Linked DNA regions of Caenorhabditis elegans. The protein of the gene in region 2 purifies or fractionates together with the protein of the main gene of each other region. This does not show direct contact. Each region holds a gene or a part of one and is shown on either strand. Other genes may lie near its edges.

Region 1 (5,142 bases), on a different chromosome or scaffold from region 2:
TTCGTTGAAATTTCAAGGCCTTCATTCCGAGATGACAAACTTTTTGGTGGCAAAGGTTCTTTGGGGGCATAGTATCCAAGGAGACAAAGGATCCAGTAGACAAACTGGGGTGTATCTTGGGGGGCATATCTTTGGTGACAACCTTTTTTTCAACTAGATTTTTATATGTATTTTTCAACTAATTTTTGTTCACATTTTTCTGGAATAAGATTTTTAATGCAATTTTCAATCGATTTTCGGTTATAATTCCCTCACAATTGAATGTATGAACGATGGTCTTTTGGGAAAAGCTGTAAAACGTCCAACTTCAGCTCCGAAGGATCACATGGGTACCTTCTGATGTTCTGATCCTTCAGATAAGAAGGATCGTAAGGGTACCTCCTGATGGTCTGATCCTTCAGATCCAAAGGATCATGAGGCTCTTCCTGATGTTCTGATCCTTCAGCTCCAAAAGAACATGAGGCTCTGCCTGATGATCTGATCTTTCAGAGCCGAATGATCACATGGGTACCTTCTGATGATCTGATCCTTCGGCTTCGACGGATCATATGGATTTTTGACAAAATTTGAAAAAAAAAATTTTGAAAAAAAACTCGAAATTTTTTTTGTTATTCTTCATTCTTTAAAGAATAGTTCAAATTTATCATGATAGGACCGAAAACTTTCAAGAAACAGTATAACTATACATGATAATCAGCTTCTACCAAATAATGATAAATTCTCCGCGATGACAAACTTTTGGGTGACAAAGTATCTTGGTGGACAAACAAAAATTACCGAAAACTGATGTAAGGAATAGTGAAATAGAGTCCTATGGACTATTAAACATGTTCAGTAGGTGTATTCAGGACTGTCCGTCAAAATAAAAAAAAGTTTGTCAGACGAAGTTCGAACCTGGGACCTGTAGGATGCAAAGTGCGCTCACTACCACTACACCAGCTATGCGAAAGTCGGCGAGCCTCATCGAAGGCTATTATAAAACTTAGTTCGCACGAGTATGATCGACATTCAACAAACAGTAATATCTCTCAACAAGAATTTCTTCATGGAATTGAGGTCATTTGACTATTTTTATCGGTTTTTCAAGTTGAGCATAGGGTCTTTTAATTTTTTGAGCATAGAAAATCATGAAAGCTGCCTGTTCCTTGTATCCTGGATCAAAATAGACGGATCTGGCCTAAAATATTTCCTGAAAAGTGATCATTTCATGTCCATCGTGTGTTTCTCTGTATTTTGAACCAGAAAGTTGAACAAAAATGATAATATTATATCGAAAAATGGAACAAATAAATTTTAGGCCTAATCAAATTTTTTCCGGATATTGTTTTTTTGTCATGATTATATGTTTTTAAATTTTTTATAATGTGTTTTATAATTAAATTCTTCATTATTTCCATCGTAATGTCCTTTTCGATGCAGAATTTGCATTAAATTTCATTGACAGTTTCGTGCGTCAAATAGGGTGCTTCATACGCAAACGCCAAAGTACGCAAACACCGACCGTATACCGTATTCATCGAAACGAATTAAATTTTTTGCAACATCTATTTTTCAGCTCGAACTGTTAAATTTTGCTTGAAATGAAGGAAATAATGACGAATTTTGTTATAAAACACATTATAAAAAATTTAAAAACATATAATCATGACAAAAAAACAATATCCGGAAAAAATTTGATTAGGCCTAAAATTTATTTGTTCCATTTTTCGATATAATATTATCATTTTTGTTCAACTTTCTGGTTCAAAATACAGAGAAACACACGATGGACATGAAATGATCACTTTTCAGGAAATATTTTAGGCCAGATACGTCTATTTTGATCCAGGATACAAGGAACAGGCAGCTTTCATGATTTTCTATGCTCAAAAAATTAAAAGACCCTATGCTCAACTTGAAAAACCGATAAAAATAGTCAAATGACCTCAATTCCATGAAGAAATTCTTGTTGAGAGATATTACTGTTTGTTGAATGTCGATCATACTCGTGCGAACTAAGTTTTATAATAGCCTTCGATGAGGCTCGCCGACTTTCGCATAGCTGGTGTAGTGGTAGTGAGCGCACTTTGCATCCTACAGGTCCCAGGTTCGAACTTCGTCTGACAAACTTTTTTTTATTTTGACGGACAGTCCTGAATACACCTACTGAACATGTTTAATAGTCCATAGGACTCTATTTCACTATTCCTTACATCAGTTTTCGGTAATTTTTGTTTGTCCACCAAGATACTTTGTCACCCAAAAGTTTGTCATCGCGGAGAATTTATCATTATTTGGTAGAAGCTGATTATCATGTATAGTTATACTGTTTCTTGAAAGTTTTCGGTCCTATCATGATAAATTTGAACTATTCTTTAAAGAATGAAGAATAACAAAAAAAATTTCGAGTTTTTTTTCAAAATTTTTTTTTTCAAATTTTGTCAAAAATCCATATGATCCGTCGAAGCCGAAGGATCAGATCATCAGAAGGTACCCATGTGATCATTCGGCTCTGAAAGATCAGATCATCAGGCAGAGCCTCATGTTCTTTTGGAGCTGAAGGATCAGAACATCAGGAAGAGCCTCATGATCCTTTGGATCTGAAGGATCAGACCATCAGGAGGTACCCTTACGATCCTTCTTATCTGAAGGATCAGAACATCAGAAGGTACCCATGTGATCCTTCGGAGCTGAAGTTGGACGTTTTACAGCTTTTCCCAAAAGACCATCGTTCATACATTCAATTGTGAGGGAATTATAACCGAAAATCGATTGAAAATTGCATTAAAAATCTTATTCCAGAAAAATGTGAACAAAAATTAGTTGAAAAATACATATAAAAATCTAGTTGAAAAAAAGGTTGTCACCAAAGATATGCCCCCCAAGATACACCCCAGTTTGTCTACTGGATCCTTTGTCTCCTTGGATACTATGCCCCCAAAGAACCTTTGCCACCAAAAAGTTTGTCATCTCGGAATGAAGGCCAAATTTCAATGAAAATTCCTATTTTTAGGGCTAAAAACTAGCGGAAAATTCGAAATTTTCAGTGAAAATCCCCCTGTTTTCGAGCTAAAAATGCACGGGAAATTCAATTTTCATCCTAAAAAAAAGCAGCACCTTCGAGCTTCTTGAGCTCCGTCGTCGCGGCGATCACATCGACCAAAGTGAATCGATTTTTCATATTTTTCCAGTTTTTGTGCTGAAAATTGGGCTGAAAATCGGAAAAAATTGGGCTAAAAATCGGAAAAAATTAGGCTGAAAATCGGTAAAAAAGTGGGTAAAAACCTCGAAAAATCGCCGAAAAAATCGGAAAAAAACGACAAAAAGTGCGGGAAATTTGAATTTTTCAGTGAAAAATTGGGGAAAATTCGAGAAATTGATGACAAAAAATACGCGTAACATTGGGAAAAGTGGTTGGTACCGGAGGCGAGAAAAAGCAGATTTTTACAAAAAAAAAAACATGAAAAATGGGTATTTTAGGTGAAAAACAGTGAGAAAACAGTGATTTTTAGCTAGAAAATGGGTATTTTTTGGTGGAAATTGAGTTAAAAACTCGGAAACTTTGACATTTTTCAGCTGAAAATATATGATTTTTGAGGTGAAAATCGCCAAAAAATCGGGGTTTTTGGGTGAAAAATTCAAATTTTTAGCTAAAAAATTAGCAAAAATGGGGGGTTTTGTGTAAAATTTCAGTCAAAAATTCGAATTTGAGGTGAAAAAACAGTGATTTTTAACAAAATTTACGTGGAAAATGGGGAAAAATGGATATTTCAGAGGTGAAAGTTGAGAAAAATTGGGAAATTTCAGAAAGGTTTCGGGTCGGAAAATGAAGAGAAAAAGAGGTTTTTTAGACGAAATTTGAGTGAAAAATGCGGAAATTTTCGAATTTTTCAGCTGAACATATGAAAAAATTCGAGAAAATTGAGATTTTTGGGGTGAAATTTCAGCCGAAAATCGAAATTTTTCGAAGAAAATTGGCAAAAATTCGACTGTTTGGACGAAAAATTCGAGTTTTAGGTGAAAATTACCAAAAAATTTTAAATTTTGGGTGAAAATATTCGAGGAGAATGGGATTTTTAGGCAAAATTCAGGCAAAAAACTGCGAAATTTCAGATTTTTCGGTATGAAAATTGGCAAAAATGCGACATTTTGGACAAAAATTCTAATTTTTAGCGAAAAATTTGAATATCAGGTGAAAATCGAAATTTTAATTGAAAAAGTGGCGTTTTTGTGCCAAAAAAAAAAAATGCTTTTTAGAGTGAAAATTACCCGAAAATTGAATTTTTTTTTTGGATGAAAAATAGAGATTTTAAGCAAAAATTGGCATCATTTCCAATTTTTCAGCCAAAAATTACGATTTTCCGGGGAAAATGGGCATTTTTAAAGAGAAATAGGGGAGGATTTTCCGGCTAAAAGTTGGATTTTTAAGTGAAAATGGGTGTTTTTTGAGAGAGAAAAATGAATAATTTAGGCGAAAATTGGCTGAAAAATGCCATTTTTTTAATGAGAATTTCGGGAAAAAATGGCAAATTTTCGGTTTTTTCAGATAAAAAAGCTCAAAATTTATGAGATTTTCAGGTGAAAGGTATGGGCATTTTTGAGAGAGAAAAATGAATAACTTAGAGGAAAAAGGGTAATTTTAAGGGGGAAAATGAGTGAAAAATCCGTGTTTTTTCAAGTATAAAAAGTGGAATTCAACGAGAATTTTGACAGAAATGGGAATTTCTTCATAAATTCCTCTCTTTTTCGGAGTTCTGCAGTCTCGTTGATCATCGATGATATCTCGTCGGCGGCGGTTATGAATGAATCGGCGGTGGCTCCGGCGGTTATCTGGAAAATTGACGGGTTTTTCGGGTGAAAATCGGGTGAAAAATCGATAAAATTCGGTAAAAATTGGAGGTTTTTCAGGTGAAAATCAATTTTCAAAAAAAAATTCAAAAAAATCCACCTTTTTGTGGAAAAACCAATAAAAAAGTTGCAAAAATTATATTAAAAACTCAAAAAAAAATTAGCGTTAAAAAACGATAGAAAAACTGAAAAATGTTGGTTTTTTCTCAGAAAATCTATAAAAACCTCAAAAAATTTTGGTTTTTTGTCCAAAAATTGGCAGAAAATTCCAAAACTTTTCGATTTTCAGAGTGAAAATCAATGAAAAATTCAAAA
Region 2 (5,346 bases):
ATTCTTACCGTATTACGTTCAATGTTTTTCTTTCCGGAAGTGTTTAAATTTTTTCCTCTGTCCCATTTTCGTCATGCACGAACACCAAGAAACCGTAGTTCAGTTGTTCAGTTTTGTCTTGCATTTCCCAACGGCCCTATATTTTCAAAAAAAAAGGTTATTTCTTAGAAACCACTCAAAAGTCCAGCCCATTTTTTCTCCTCTAAAATTGCAAAAAATTGTCAATTTCTCAACACTCATAAGCCCCGCCTTCCACGATTTCGCATGGTTTTATGTTTTCCCTAAATTGTACTTTTCATATATTTCCTGACATTTCAGACATCAACTTGAGGCAACGATGAAAGCCACATTCGTGCTGGCATGTCTTCTTGTGATAGCTGCTGTTTCCCATGCCGATCTCCTACCAAAACGAATGGACGCAAATGCTTTCCGCATGTCGTTTGGCAAACGTAGCGTAAGTTTGACTTTTTTTTGAAACATTTCATGAAAATTAGCTTCAGGTATCCAATCCAGCAGAGGCAAAACGAATGGATCCAAACGCTTTCAGAATGTCCTTCGGGAAACGATCAGCCGAGCAGAATGAGCAAGCTAATAAGGAAGACAAAGCGACATCCGACAAGCTCTACGACGACACCAAATTTGAGGAGATGAAGCGCATGGACGCCAACGCTTTTCGCATGTCGTTTGGAAAACGCTCGGTACGTTGTCGTCGTCTTTCATTGCGACCCTAATTAGTGCTGGTGTCTAGTTGCTCTTTTTCCAGGATGCTCATCAAGCCGCCGATGATCAGGTCGAGTACGTGAATGATGACTTTTCACTCCCTGAGCAAAAACGTATGGATGCCAATGCGTTCCGCATGTCGTTTGGAAAACGAGTCAACTTGGATCCAAACAGCTTTCGAATGAGCTTTGGAAAGAGAAGTGTACGCAGAATCCGATCATCAACATTCCCCTAATATTCCATTTTTTTTTCAGACAGTCGGGTACAACTTGGACGCTCGGAACTACTTTGTCGGATTGGGACGTCGTTAAACTCCAGCGAACATCAAGCTACTTTCATCCCAATTGCTTCTTCTTAGTCCCAAATATGATAACACTCTTTCCATAAAATCGTTTTTGTGCAATAAATTGATTGTATGGGAAATACATCGAAGATCTTTTAGCTAATAAAATGTTACAAAAATTGCCGTTCAATAAGCTTATAGACCTTTCCAAAGAATACAATTATCAGTAAATGTTCCGCAACTGATGCTCCAAAACTGGATTTTAGGATTATAACGAAAACTTCTGACTGGCTCAGGTATCATGCTGCCGCTACAATTTTTTGCATTGTTCTCTAACATAAGACTAATGTCTGATATCTTGGTGAATATTAGACCTGTGAGAAAATAATTTAAAGCCATTCAAATTATGCTAAAAATGAACAAGTATCCCAACAAAATTTAATTTTGGAAATATTTTTTTCTTGTAAAAAAAATGGTCGACCTGATTTGCGCATTTTTTTGAGAAATCTGAATCACTGCCAAATATTCTAACCCTGCAATGTTTCAGTATGAATATTACACACTTCATTAATTGAACCCAAAACTGGACGAAATTTCGATTTTTTGAACGAAGACTTTAAAAAATTTTAGCAAATTCAGTTTTAACCAATTTTGACTAAAAACATTTTTCAAAATTTTTATTAATTTGGTCAATATAGGAATTTTTTTTAATATTATTTTCTCACATGCCGTAGTCCACTTTTAATCAGAATATCCACAGCAAAAAAGCATCTTCCTAACAGGATTAGTTATCAGCTGATATGCCGACGTGCACTTTGACAAAAAGTCAAGAAGTGACGATAGTGATAAAACACAAATGTAGGTCAATATGGTCACGACTGGAATGTGAAACATTATAGGGACAGAGTGTGTTAAGTTATGAAATTTTCCGTTTCCTCCGAATTTGATAACTGCGTTTATGTCGATCAACTCTGCGTCACTTTAGGGGGAGGACACAATTGAAATTCATTAATGGAATTTTTGATAAGAAACATGAGAGCCAAGTGTGATAACACCGTTTTCTTTTTTATTATCGATTTTGACACTGATTCCGTATTCTGAGAGTTTCATCAAAAATCAAAAAATTGCAAAAATGGCTAGAAAAACCATTGATTCGTAAGTTCTCTAAACTAATAAATAAATCATTACTCCAACTTTTTGCAGAATTCCAGAGCCAATTGCTCTTCCAACAGAAGAAACAGTTCAAAAGCGCATTAAACTGAAAATGGTGGATTTGGATGCAGAAATAGCGAAATTGAACGTACAAGTGCGTAATGTAATAAAACAAAAATCACATCATGCTCTTTCCGCTTCTGAATACATAATTGAGATGTCAAAAATGCCAGCTTGGAAATTGTTTCTTTTTTAGTAAAATCATTGACGTTTTTAGATGAAACCATAAATAATTGATTAGGAAAGAAACAAATTTTGGAAACATTAGTTAAAAATAGGGGTGCGCGGACATTTTCAAGCAAAATTAGTGATAGAATCTAGGGAATTTTCTCATTTATCAAAAAGTTTTTTCATTTCAGCTGAGAAATGTAGGGAAGCCACAAAAACTGTCGGTAAGCTGGAAGTTGCCTCCGTTTTTTTGGCAATTTTTCTCTTTTATGAAATTTTTCAGTGCCATCAAATGGGGTTTTTTAAAAATATTTTCCTAAAAATTTTCTATGAAGAATAGTTCTACTTAATGTCAAAAATGCATACTTTAGTGCATATTAAAATTCTTGTGAACACGTGGTTGTTTTGCCTTTGCTTGTTTTTATCTATATTTTTCAATCAACAAATTACGATGTTTCGTTAAAGACCACTAGAAATCATAAGAGTAAAAACTACTGTACCCGTGAGGTTACTGTAACAACCCTGCAATGTTTTGAAATTTTCAGAGTCTTGACAGTAGTATACAGATGATCCGAGATATCGATCAAATGAATGTAGATGCAGTCCAGACAACTGCTGCTCTTGAAGATCAAGACGGTTAGTTTGTAGGATGTTTCCAACAGCTACCTAACTCAGATGCTTTTTTAGAACAGCTTGACAAAATCGAGGCGAATCTCAGCAATGTCATCGATGATCTGAATGTTGTTTCACATAACATAACAGCAATGGAGCATTATTGCGGATGCGGCTTCTTTCGAATTCTCCGGTTGGTGACTTTCGAATAAATCGACACAAACACGGTAATAAAAATTGTTTTCAGCGCGCCATTCAAGTATTTTCGAAAACGAGAGCGTGACATCATAAAGGAAGAAGTATTAGAGTAAGCATAAACACACGCGGCTCTTATAGAGTGCTCTCGGTTGCATGGGAACACATTTATTAAATTTTCAGAAAAATGACGAGCCCAAAATTGCGACGTAAAGAGGAAAGTAACATGATGATGTTCACGAATTCCAGCAAGCGAAGGGAGTCTACCGGGGATTTTATGAAACGGTAGGTAGAATATTGGTTCAAACTTTATAATTTTAAACACGAGTGGTGCGAGTAATTTCCTTGATCTATTAGTGCTAATGGAAAATATTTTAGTTTCTGGACATTTTTTGCGAAAAACTTCTAGAAAACGGCAAGAAAAGGTAGATGTCTGTTTTTGGCATTGCATTATTGTCTTTAATGACGGAGAAACTTTTTTTGGAAACATTTTTTATTGTCCTATTTTTCCTATTAGAAATGCCCGTTGCCTTCTGCTTTACAGTGACAGCTTCCCTTTCAATGCTATTTAGTTTTATCAAAATCTAATCAAGCAACATTTTTCTCTATATTTCAGTAATAACAATTTTCGATTAAAACTTAAAACAACCGAGATATAAGAGTTTTCTTTAAAATGTATTATGGAAGTTCAAAAATTCCAAAAAAAAAATGAAATGTTCCTTCCATATTGCATGTTGCCAACTGAACCGCTGCTGAAAGCTGGTGCTTATAAATTTGAGAAATGTGAAAAAACAAATCATTTTGAAACTTGGTTTTTTAGATTACATAATAATTTATATTAAAAATTGCTATTTGCCCTTGCATGTTTTAACATTTTATGACGTCTACGTAACTTGATTTTCCATTTTCTAAGATTTTTTAGTCTTAACATATATTTTTGTGTTTTATATTTTAATTTTATATTTTAAGTTTTTAAAAATATTTAGAACATTCATACAGCCACGTCGTATGTCGCAGAAATGTAGATTACAGTTACATAATTAATTTTTTTTTTCAATTTCCGTAATTTTTTCAGTCTAACATGTGACGCAATAGAAGATGAGTTGGAACGAAACTTGATGCAGATTGATCAGGGACTTGAATCTGTCAAAAATTTGGCTGTTGATATGCACGTACAGCTAAAACTACAAGAACCAAAACTGAACAGGATAGAAGAATTGGTAAGTGATAACAGAACGGGATTATAGCGCCTGTGTTTTTATACTTTGCCCGGATAGTTATCAGTTTCTATTTTTGATATTTTTTTTCCAGACCGAAACAAATGATTTTGTCGTGGAGGGAGTCAATGATAAAGTGAAAAAACTACTTCACTGACTTCACAAAAAGTGTGGTGCGCGCATTCCACGGGCTACAAACACATGGGTAAACTGTACATTTTCAAATATTGTTGAAAACTTTTAATTTTTCAATTTTAAATTCAAACTTTATGTTTTAAGCAATAAAATGATGATTTAATCCGTTATACAAAGACATGGAAAAGTTACAGTTAGTTTTTTTTTTTAAGCGGTCGTTATTTATAGGGGTTCGTTTAATGGTGTCACATACTGCTTTGCGTTTAAGAGAAAGAGTAGAAGTAGCGATGAGCTCCATAGCGAGCTGAAATTAAAAGGTGATAGTCTGAAACAATTCAATTCAACTAACCGGCTGGCAGGTAAACATCTGACCAGTCCTTTCCACGACGTCCCAATGCGGTTGGCTCAATCCATTTTTTGTCCAGTGTTTTGAAATCAATGCATCCGTTTCTGTACAAATCAATTGCAGTCTTCACGTTCTTTCTGAAATTTTTCATATTTTTTCACCCCCTCCCACAAAACTGTTCAGTACGTGTCGTATTGCCATGGTCTCCAGCTATTCCAGAGTGGTCTGTCGTAGTTGGGATCGCGATAACGTCTCCAGTAAGTTGGGTTGAGCCAATCAGTGTACCACTTGTATCTCGACCAGAATGGAGCGTACTCGTGTCCCAAACTATGTGGGATCGGGTCCACATACAGTTGGCGACGGGCGGCAAAGCGGTAGGTTTGCCAGTAGAATGGAGTGTAGAACGTGTAACGATCAATGTTAGAGTCATCCAACTGAAAATTGTTTCTTTTTACTCA

The links. Proteins that work in one complex are often made in the same cells at the same time.
Region 1: the proteins of aex-4 (region 2) and Y82E9BR.18 purify together in Caenorhabditis elegans (affinity purification with mass spectrometry, with the first as the bait; one large-scale study listed by BioGRID). This does not show direct contact.

Annotation. Positions count from the first base shown.
Region 1 is NC_003281.10:1,480,318-1,485,459, forward strand, and holds the start of Y82E9BR.18 (Nuclear export mediator factor NEMF), read right to left. Parts: upstream 3,191-5,142; 5' UTR 3,161-3,190; coding exon 3,097-3,160; intron 1-3,096. Other genes in the region: Y82E9BR.19 (F-box domain-containing protein), read right to left, coding at 4,654-4,809.
Region 2 is NC_003284.9:3,727,256-3,732,601, forward strand, and holds aex-4 (t-SNARE protein aex-4), read left to right. Parts: upstream 1-2,025; 5' UTR 2,026-2,135; coding exon 2,136-2,158; intron 2,159-2,206; coding exon 2,207-2,309; intron 2,310-2,928; coding exon 2,929-3,019; intron 3,020-3,070; coding exon 3,071-3,188; intron 3,189-3,242; coding exon 3,243-3,302; intron 3,303-3,373; coding exon 3,374-3,475; intron 3,476-4,265; coding exon 4,266-4,410; intron 4,411-4,501; coding exon 4,502-4,564; 3' UTR 4,565-4,706; downstream 4,707-5,346. Other genes in the region: nlp-1 (Neuropeptide-like protein 1), read left to right, coding at 338-454, 501-698, 764-922, 975-1,031; tag-18 (uncharacterized protein), read right to left, coding at 4,806-4,846, 4,892-5,025, 5,075-5,322. UniProt on the Caenorhabditis elegans protein: t-SNARE protein which regulates the secretion of aex-5 from intestinal cells. Involved in the defecation motor program, which is a coordinated series of three muscle contractions that occurs every 45 seconds.